Linked DNA regions of Drosophila melanogaster. The protein of the gene in region 2 interacts with the protein of the main gene of each other region in a pairwise test. Each region holds a gene or a part of one and is shown on either strand. Other genes may lie near its edges.

Region 1 (4,623 bases), on a different chromosome or scaffold from region 2:
TTTCATGGGCGGTCTGTATACCCACATTCGAGAGGTGCATGCCCCCAAGGAGCGACGCCATCCCTGCGACCAGCCAGGCTGCGAGAGAATCTACACCAGCCGCATAGCCATGCAGAAGCACAAAAGGCTGAAGCACAGTCCGCGTGACCGCGATGCTTTGAAGAAATTCATCTGCGAGCAGTGCGGAGCCAGCTTTAACCAGTCGGCGAATCTTAAATACCACCTTAAGACAAAGCATCCCACGGAGGACGAGGTGGCCGCCAGGGAGGGCGGCGCCGGAGAGCGCCATTTCTGCGACATTTGTCAAAAGGAGTTCCATTCACGATACACCCTCAAGTACCACACTTTGCAGCAGCACGAGGTGCAGGAAGAGTTGCCCCACGAATGCCAGGTCTGTGGACGCCGGATGGCCAAGAAGTTCATGCTGCTGCAGCACATGCTGATGCACTCGAACGACAAGTTGCCCTGCGAGCACTGCGGCAGAAGATTTGCCAGGCGATTCGAGCTCGAAGCCCATGTGAGAGCAGTCCACTTAAAGCTGAAACCCTTTCCCTGTCACCACTGTCCGGAGAGCTTTGCTTCTAGGAAAACCCTGCGGCACCATGAGTACATACACACGGGTGAGAAGCCCTACATTTGCGACACCTGTGGACAGGCCTTCCGGCAGCAGACGTGTCTTAAAAACCACCGGAAGGTGCACGAGAAGTAGTCTTAGCTAGCCTTAGTGGAAAAGATTTTAAAATAGACTGATTAAGTGGAAACGTGGCGTCTTTTGAATGTTCTGGAACAGGTAACGCTCTTCGTAGGACATGAAGGTGCTATGCCAACAACCCTTTCCTCAACAAACAGCAGGCATTCACTTAAATAGCTTTAGTCACCAATAACTTGTCTAGTACACAGTGTTATGCAGATTCCGGTGGCTTTGCGGTGGGATCCACCTGTGTGCTGTGTTGCTCCTGTTCGATGTAGACGCGCAAGTCCTCCAGAGGCTTATAGTAAAGGTGAACAGCCTGCGATCCGGCCATCATGGATGCCAGGGCACAGCCGAGGAATTTCAGGTACTGGCCCCAGGAAACTCCGGCGGGCATTTTGCTTAGTTGGTGTTATTCGCGGCTCGCGCCTGCAGATGCTGCTGCTCTTCCACGTAGTTCTTCGCCTGGCGGCGCTTAAAAGTGCGGTCTGCATGGAAAAGATTCCGTATTAGTAAATAAAAGTAAGGTTTTAAGCGTAGCAGTCTCACAGAAATTGGTCTCGCCCACTGTCCAATTGATCATGGAGAATTCCAGGCCGGCGCCCAGTAAAAAGAAGAGCGGCAGGAAGCGGTAGACACCGAAGCGCTTCTTTCCTGGCCAACTGTCCAGCAGACGACGCACGGATCCGCTGTACGGACTCATGTGTTTTCAGCCGGCGGTTATATAATTCCGTGTTGGTTTCGCCAATTTTAAGGCGAGATTCAAAGGTGCCGTGTTTGTGTATTGCCTCCGTCACATGTGTGCGTTAGTTCTGTATATGGTTTAATTGAAAATGTTTAGGCTTGTTCCTTTGTTTATTTATTATTTGCCAAAAGTAAAGGGGAAACTCCACTTGCCTCACGATACAATTTCCATTTGTTCCGGTTCGCAGCAATCAGCTGTTCGATTAGAGATGAGCGAGTGAGCTAGTGATGAGCTGATGTGATGACAACACAACGTTAGTAAATAAATTCATAAGTTAACTATGTATAAGGCCCCTTAAATAAATGTTCGTTTATTTCAGCCTATCTTAATTTCAATTTAATGAAATTATTTAACAGTTACTGAAGCGCTTCGGGAGCATGGTAGTAGAACACCTTCACGCTGTCATCGCTAATGATTCATCCCTGAAAAAAAAACATAGCTTAAACTAGCAAGCAATTTAGGTCGAATTATGATACACAGTCTGTTTATTGTAAACAGCGGCGGGTAAGCCATACCTATAAGTGAAATGTGAAGACGATGTAATACCCATATACCCATATATCCGCATTTCAGCGAGGTCTTCCTGGAAAAGCATTGGCGCTCGGTTGTCTCGAGATCTGTGTGCGAATACTTCCTTGACGCCCAGCGCGCTGCTCCATATGTGAGTCGCCCGTGCCACGTATGGGTTGTATGCTGACCATATCTCTTTGTTGCAGGATGTGCCGCCGGTGATAGCCACGCCCCACTACTACCTGATTACAGTGCAAAGGGACACGGTGTCTTTGGTCGCCGCCTGCAAGCAGGAGGTGCCGCCGCTCTTTGTCATCGAGTTCCTGCATCGCGTGGTGGACACCTTCCAGGACTATTTCGGCGACTGCTCCGAGTCCGTGATCAAGGACAACTATGTGGTCGTTTACGAGCTGCTGGACGAGATGCTCGATAATGGCTTCCCACTGGCCACCGAGAGCAACATCCTCAAGGAGCTGATCAAGCCGCCCAATATCCTGCGCACCATTGCCAACACGGTGACGGGCAAGAGCAAGTAAGTTGAATGATGCTCCCTCCGTCTTTGTCTTTCATTTACCTTAATAATCCAATTAATAATCCGATTTCCGAAGTGTAAGCACTACTTTGCCCTCGGGTCAGCTGTCGGCGGTTCGCTGGCGCAGAAGCGGCGTGAGGTACACCAACAACGAGGCGTACTTCGATGTCATCGAGGAGGTGGACGCTATCATTGATAAATCCGGATCCACGGTCTTTGCCGAGATCCAGGGACACGTAAGTTTCACTTAAGTCTATAAAAATAATTTCTATCTCTTTTATTTTTTTATCAGATCGACTGCTGCATTAAGTTATCCGGCATGCCAGATCTGACGTTATCTTTCATGAATCCTCGCCTCTTCGACGACGTTTCCTTCCATCCTTGCGTGCGCTACAAGCGCTGGGAGGCGGAGCGCCTGCTCTCCTTTATCCCGCCCGACGGAAACTTCCGCCTGATGTCATATCACATTAGCTCTCAGTCCGTGGTGGCCATACCCATCTACATCAGGCACAACTTTTCGATCAAAACGGGTGAGCAGGGGCGTCTGGACCTCACGATTGGCCCGAGGAACACCCTTGGTCGCACCGTTGACAAGGTGAAGCTGGAGCTGACCATGCCGCGGTGTGTGCTTAATTGCCTATTGACGCCGAATCAGGGAAAGTATACCTTCGATTCGGTGACCAAGACGCTGTCCTGGGATGTGGGACGGATCGATGTTTCCAAGTTGCCAAATATTAGGGGATCGGTAAGAATAACTATTGAGACCCTTTACACTTTTACACGATTCATGTATCTAACGTCTTAAATTATTTATATTTTTATCCCATTAATAATATACTGTCCTTGCACGCCTAGGTTTCCATTACGCCCGGTACGACCAACATCGATGCCAATCCATCCGTGAATGTCCAGTTCCAAATCTCGCAGCTGGCCGTCTCTGGGCTAAAGGTAAATCGCCTGGACATGTACGGCGAGAAGTACAAGCCTTTCAAGGGCGTCAAATACCTGACCAAGGCGGGCAAGTTCCAGGTGCGGATGTAGACAAAATCATCATCCGGATTCCAATTCCAGCTTTAATTAATAGCTAACGTTAAGTGTATTCCGCTTGTTTTTTTTTTTTTCATTTGATGTTCTAGCCCTCGTCTCTCTCCCTGTGTATCTCATTTATGTATCTATATCTCTACCCATAAAATATTAACTTCAAGTGTAGTCGCCTTGTCGTTGTTCTTGGACGCCGTCGCCATATTCGAAGAGTAAGAATGCGAGAATTGATTGGGAATGAAGTTGCAAGTCTTCGAGTGGCGTGGCTTGGCATGGCATCGCATGGCAATGGCACCGTCGACTGCACTGCACTCCAAGTCAAGTCACTCCACTCGATCGCAGTGCGCCTGGCAACAGCCAGCGAGGAAACCAATAAATTCAAATGAAAATGCAAAACTTGATTTTGCAGCCAGGCCAACGCATTTAGCATACGAATAGTGTGTATACATCTTGTTTATCAATGTGTGTGAACAATGCGAAGAAGTAGAGACTCGCTAACGTACATTTCTAGGCAAGAGTGCTGAAAAGTGAAAGACTGATCAAATTATCGAGTTGTGACATTACACTATACCCCACGCATTTTGTTAAGAAGAAACCCAAATTCAATTTCTATTTGACTCTTCAATGAGTTTTTCGTTAAATCCCTATTAGAATCAGTTTTTTTTTAATGCAATTAACAAGCACACGAGGTTTCACTGTGTTGCCTCGTTATCTCCTTCTACAAGCTTAGCTGCATTTTTGCCTCTGGCCGAGACCGGTAACCGGTTTGCCCTGCCACGCCCCCGATGCATGCCTTGGACCGCCCCCCTTGACCCATGGCAGCCGCAAGCAGCAACAGCTTCTAGGCTTTTGGGCGCGGCGTGCAACGGTAGCCAACAAGCGCCACCGAAAGGCGACGTCGACCATGGCTAGACATGTTATACACACACACACACACACACAGAGAGAGCCAGCTCTTGAACGGGCACAAAATGTTTGGGGCTCGGACCCCAAACGGGTTGAGAAAATAACTCAGATTTCGAGTCCAGTTCGCGAGTCATTTTTCAAGCGTGGGAAACAGTCGTTAAGAGCCAAGCAAGTTCCTTAAGAACAGAATGAAAGGGG
Region 2 (4,918 bases):
GAAAGTTCCCTCTAATGGGATTTGCCAGCCTCGAGTTTGAGTTGCAGCCGCGAACTGTTGCCTACATTTTGGGGGCGCCCTCGGACTTGATTATGGCGGCAGATGGCAAGTGATGGCCATTTCTTTAGCTCCTATTGAGCCGGCAAGTGGTTTTCCATGCCCCGCATAGGGGTTATGTTGGCCAGCACTTTAGTTTTACGATAGCGGAACATCCCGTGGCGATTGCTGCACTTATATGAGGCAGCTCGCAGCTCCCGTGCCTCATTGCTGTTGCATGCATATGCTGCAGTTGCCGCTGCTCCCGGCCGTTCACTTGTCTGTGCCCCCGGGACACGTGGCTCGTTCGAATTTCCACTTTCTACTGCTGGCTCACGTCCGACCTGCGGGCCATTATTATCTATCGTGTGTACAAATAGCCCTGACACCCACACCCGAACAGAATACGACACACATATCCATATGCGTGAGTACGTGCCCATAAGGGAAAGCAAATAGTGCGGAATAACCATAGTCGAATACCTGGTAGTTTACCTGTTGGATGCGGACCTTTGCGGTTTTATGCCACTCAGTACTCCATTCCGTATAAAATTCGGCATATTTTTGATGATTAAATCTCAGTTCCGTTCATTGGAACTTTATATTTGTATGTGATTTATCAACGATTTAACACCTAAAACAAATGTATATTCCCATTTCATATTGCTATGTTCAATATAAGAGTACTCATCTTGTGAGAAGTTTTATTTATAATGCTTTTACTTCATGAGACGAAGTTTGCCGAACTCAAAACTCAAAGTGACTTAACTCTTGCGTAGACTGTCTGGACTAAATTTAAATGCATATTCATGAAGTGAAAAGTTGGTCGTTTAAAAGTTTTCACTTAAGTCCTTGAATCTTTGGGACAATCTTTTCGTAAATTCCACTTACAAGGCATCAATTATTCGAGTGATTGATTCAAGTGTTTGGCAACTTGTTGTTTCACTACCACTGCCAGCTCTTCGCTTTTCCGTATACCCATCGTTTTTTTTTTCGTTGTATTTTGCATTTCACGTAATATAATGGCGTGTTGCCACCGCAACGAATCGAACCCAGCCGACCAATGGGGATGGATCGAGGGGGGGATATGGTTCGAGGATGATAACAAAATGTTGACGGAAAAGTGGCCAAGAGTCCAGGGCTCACCTGACCCACTCCTTCTCGCTCTGGCCAACAGGTTTCGCCATTGCGAGAATCTGCAGACAACAAATCAATAGGAATATCTGTCGTTCTCACTCACGTTCTCTTTTGGGCGCATTCAAGTCCTCAGCAGTTCGGTCCGCATCGGCTTTTTTCAATGCGGAATTGTGTATGCATAAAGGCCAACGAGTTGGGGGGCCTTGAGGGGATTTTTTGGCCAGCTTATTGTATTACACCAGGGTCCTGATGCCCGGATGGGTTGCCGAGAAAAGGTAAGCTTGTGTAAGATAATAATTGCTACAGATTTCTGAATTCTAAAGGAAATGTGAGCCCTTGGTTCTGGCAGCAGATGGAATTATTGATGGATTCCATTGACTTTAAACCGAGTTGCGCTACCTGAGCCCATAACTTATGCATGGCAGGGAGCGATGTGTGGATAATTTGAATGGGGTTAAGCCCCATTTGCATATACAAATGCCAATGCGTGGGCTGGGCTTCAATCAGGTTTATGGCTTCGGGTCCGCCTGCACTGGCACCTCTTTGCTTTTCCGCTTTTCTACTCTTCGCTTTCCGTTTTCCGTCTGCGGCTCTTCCTTTAGCGCCCTTGGTGCTCCGGCTGGCCATCATCATTTCTCATTCGAGTACAAGGTGGCCGGAGTAATGACTCTTCCTGCACGGACCGTCATTAAATTGCAGGCCTCCATCGCGTCATAGAGAAGTTCTCGGGACAACCCTTTGGTAAACTTTGCTTGTAATTAAGCCCGCACCCGTTAAACGCATACTTAACACCACCCACCCAGCCTACTATTCAGACCCCAACTGTCCCCACCTTCCGGCCCAGCCACCCATGCCGACGGGGCACTTTCACCCCCTGTCTCTGCTGTAAAAATAAACTGAGTGTGTGCACAACACAAACAGGGAAAGTCCATAAAACACTTAAGATCTAGGAGTACGAGTATGTATACGGCTGATGGTGGAAGGGGGGTGTTGCTGGTTCTGGGCTGGTCAGTTCGCAAATTACAAATCCTGGCCAAAGTCACGTCGCAAGTTGGTCATTAGCCGCCACTTGAGTCCCGAAGCTCCGCCCACGCATCGATTTTATTGCAGCACATAATTCTTGAGGCCGGGGCCATTTGTGCAAATCTCATGTTGATGGCATATTAAGTGACCTCCGGGCCGCTTTTCAAACACCCCAGCCCCCTCACCACCTCGCCACCCAAGCGCGCAATCCACATTTGATGCCCCAGGCGCCTGCCAATTTGCACTTTAAACGGCCGGCGGGTGGGCACAAAGTGACGTCGTTAGATAGACAGAAATGGCGCAAACTTACGTGTAATTAGACGCGTCTGGGCGCGAGGATTAGCAATTAAGCGAATGTCCTGTGAGCGCAACAAGTGCCGCTGAAGGAGAGGTCTTTACAAAAAGGACGAAGTGCCGTTGAAAGAGACACAGGACACGAGTAATCCCAGCTGGGGGCTGGGTGCTTAGGGGACGGGGTTGGGTGGGCAATTGCCGTTCGGGGGCAAAGTGAGAGCAGCGCATAAATCAACATGTCAAATCGCAGCTTACAAAGTGCCGTACAAACACACACACACACACACAGATCCCGCGCTCATTTAAACACACCCACTAAGACAGAGGGAAACTCACTTTTACTCCGCGTGCCGCATTACAGTTTAATGTTTACCATTTTCATCAAATTTGTCGGATAATTCGGTCTGTTATAGCAACTTGGCTAATTGTTCAACACCAACAATGCCACCGCGACAAACATCAGCACACCGATACTGGTACACCATCACCATCACATTCACTAGCACAAACACCACCACAAATAGCACAACACACACCGACGAGCAACAGTTTGCACGGCCAGCCGCTCGGGGCTTTCTGCACTTCCGTTTCCGCTGGCGACTGCCGCTCTCACGAACTTCCGCCCGGTCGAAGCTGCGGCGGCGGCTGCTCGAGCTGAACTGTGGTGCCCACCGATTCTTGGCTGCCTTTTTCCTGGCTCCCGATTCCTGTGAATCCGAAGTGCTGGAAAAGCTCCGACTGTTGAGCTTTTCGCGGCCTTCCATTGGGCTGGAAAATGGAGCCGAGGAAAGCTAGCGAATGCAGTGGATAGCCGTTGCAGGAGATGATTGGGAAATCATCTAGCGGTTTCATCTTATATAAGGCAAGTGGGAAAAATTTAACTTAATTTATTTCTATAATCTTGGCAAATTAACACCATAAATTAGGATTTTGAAAAATATTAAAAGTCTTAGTTATGAAACAAGAGCAAGACTAGTTACAAGTGTCACATTTTATAATTATAACATTTGAAATTTATTTAGCAATCATTTAAAAATCCTAAAACGTATTAAAACTTGTTTATCTATTTAACTGATTGTTTGAAGCGTTAATAAATAAATCATGCAGCTATAAAGCATTTATTAGTATATTAACTATTGTATATATACTGTTTAGAATGTTCACAACATTCAAAAATCCAAGTTTGTGATAAATAAATACTCATATAGGATGTAGGTTATAAAATCGTGTTGTTTTATTTTTTTTTTAATTTTCTCTGTTTGTATGGCCTACTTGCTAATCTTATGGCTGCTTATATAATAAATAGTTTGGAAGTCTTCGGCTTAAGAACTAGAGAAACGACTAAATAAGGTATTGGGGACAGGTATTTAGGACAGGTTAACAAATTGGGTTGGTGATGGGGTCAGTACGGGATAGCACAGTGGGTGAGCAGGTGTGTGGGCAGGTAAAGATGCTGTAGATGGGACTCTCCTCATTGATCCTTCTTACAGGTTGTCTACGCGGGAAGATAGCTCGTCCAGCTGCTGGTAAATGCTGGCCGGAAGATCGGCGCCCACCTGTGACTCGAAGTAGGTGCGAATATCCTTGACCTCCTGCGACCAGAACTCCTTGGGCAGCGAGAAGATCTCCTTCACGTCCACCTTATCCTTCATGCCATCGAGGTTTAGGGCACCCTCGGCGGGAATGTGTCCAATGGCCGAGTCCACGTAGCAGGATTCGCCATTGACCCTGCGCAGGATCCATTCCAGCACACGGGAGTTCTCTCCGTATCCGGGCCACATGAACTTGCCCTCGGCACTCTTGCGGAACCAGTTGACGTGGAAGATCTTTGGCACCTGACCACGCTTCTCCATGCTCAGCCAGTGGGCCACGTAGTCGCCAAAGTTGTAGCCAAAGAAGGGCCTCATGGCGAACGGATCGTGCATGATCACCTTGCCCTTGTGCTCGGCCGCAGCAGTGGCCTCACTCCTCATGGCTGCTCCAATGAAGACTCCGTGGGTCCAGTCCCGAGCCTCATAGATTAGGGGCACTCCGGCGGGACGACGTCCTCCGAAGAGCATGGCGGAGATGGGCACTCCCGCCGGATCTTCCCAGGCTTCATCGATAATCGGGCACTGGGCGGCTGGAGTGCAGAAGCGGGAGTTGGGATGCGCAGCGGGCTTGCCGGAATCCTTGGTCCAGGGTTTGCCCAACCAGTCAGTGATTTGGACATTGGGAGCCAGACTGCTTTCCATGCCCTCCCAGAACACACCGCCATCAGAGGTGGAGGCCACGTTCGTGAAGATGGTGTTCTTGAAAACAGTGTTCATGGCAATGGGATTGGTCTCCATTGAGGTTCCTGGAGCCACACCAAAGAATCCATTCTCTGGGTTGATGGCACGCAGCACTCCCTGCGAGTCAAACTTCATCCACGCAATGTCGTCGCCCA

Evidence for each region.
Region 1: the proteins of Rgk2 (region 2) and cm interact in a two-hybrid assay, tested with the Drosophila melanogaster proteins (one large-scale study listed by BioGRID).

Annotation. Positions count from the first base shown.
Region 1 is NC_004354.4:7,008,374-7,012,996, reverse strand, and holds cm (carmine), read left to right. Parts: upstream 1-1,851; 5' UTR 1,852-1,905; coding exon 1,906-1,940; intron 1,941-2,009; coding exon 2,010-2,097; intron 2,098-2,152; coding exon 2,153-2,478; intron 2,479-2,554; coding exon 2,555-2,714; intron 2,715-2,770; coding exon 2,771-3,223; intron 3,224-3,333; coding exon 3,334-3,519; 3' UTR 3,520-3,991; downstream 3,992-4,623. Other genes in the region: CG3032 (uncharacterized protein), read left to right, coding at 1-709; sloth2 (sloth 2), read right to left, coding at 903-1,088; sloth1 (sloth 1), read right to left, coding at 1,094-1,179, 1,241-1,394.
Region 2 is NT_033778.4:18,538,202-18,543,119, reverse strand, and holds the start of Rgk2 (Rad, Gem/Kir family member 2), read right to left. Parts: upstream 3,152-4,918; 5' UTR 2,827-3,151; intron 1,977-2,826; exon of another isoform or gene 666-1,976; intron 1-665. Other genes in the region: Pepck1 (phosphoenolpyruvate carboxykinase 1), read right to left, coding at 3,975-4,918.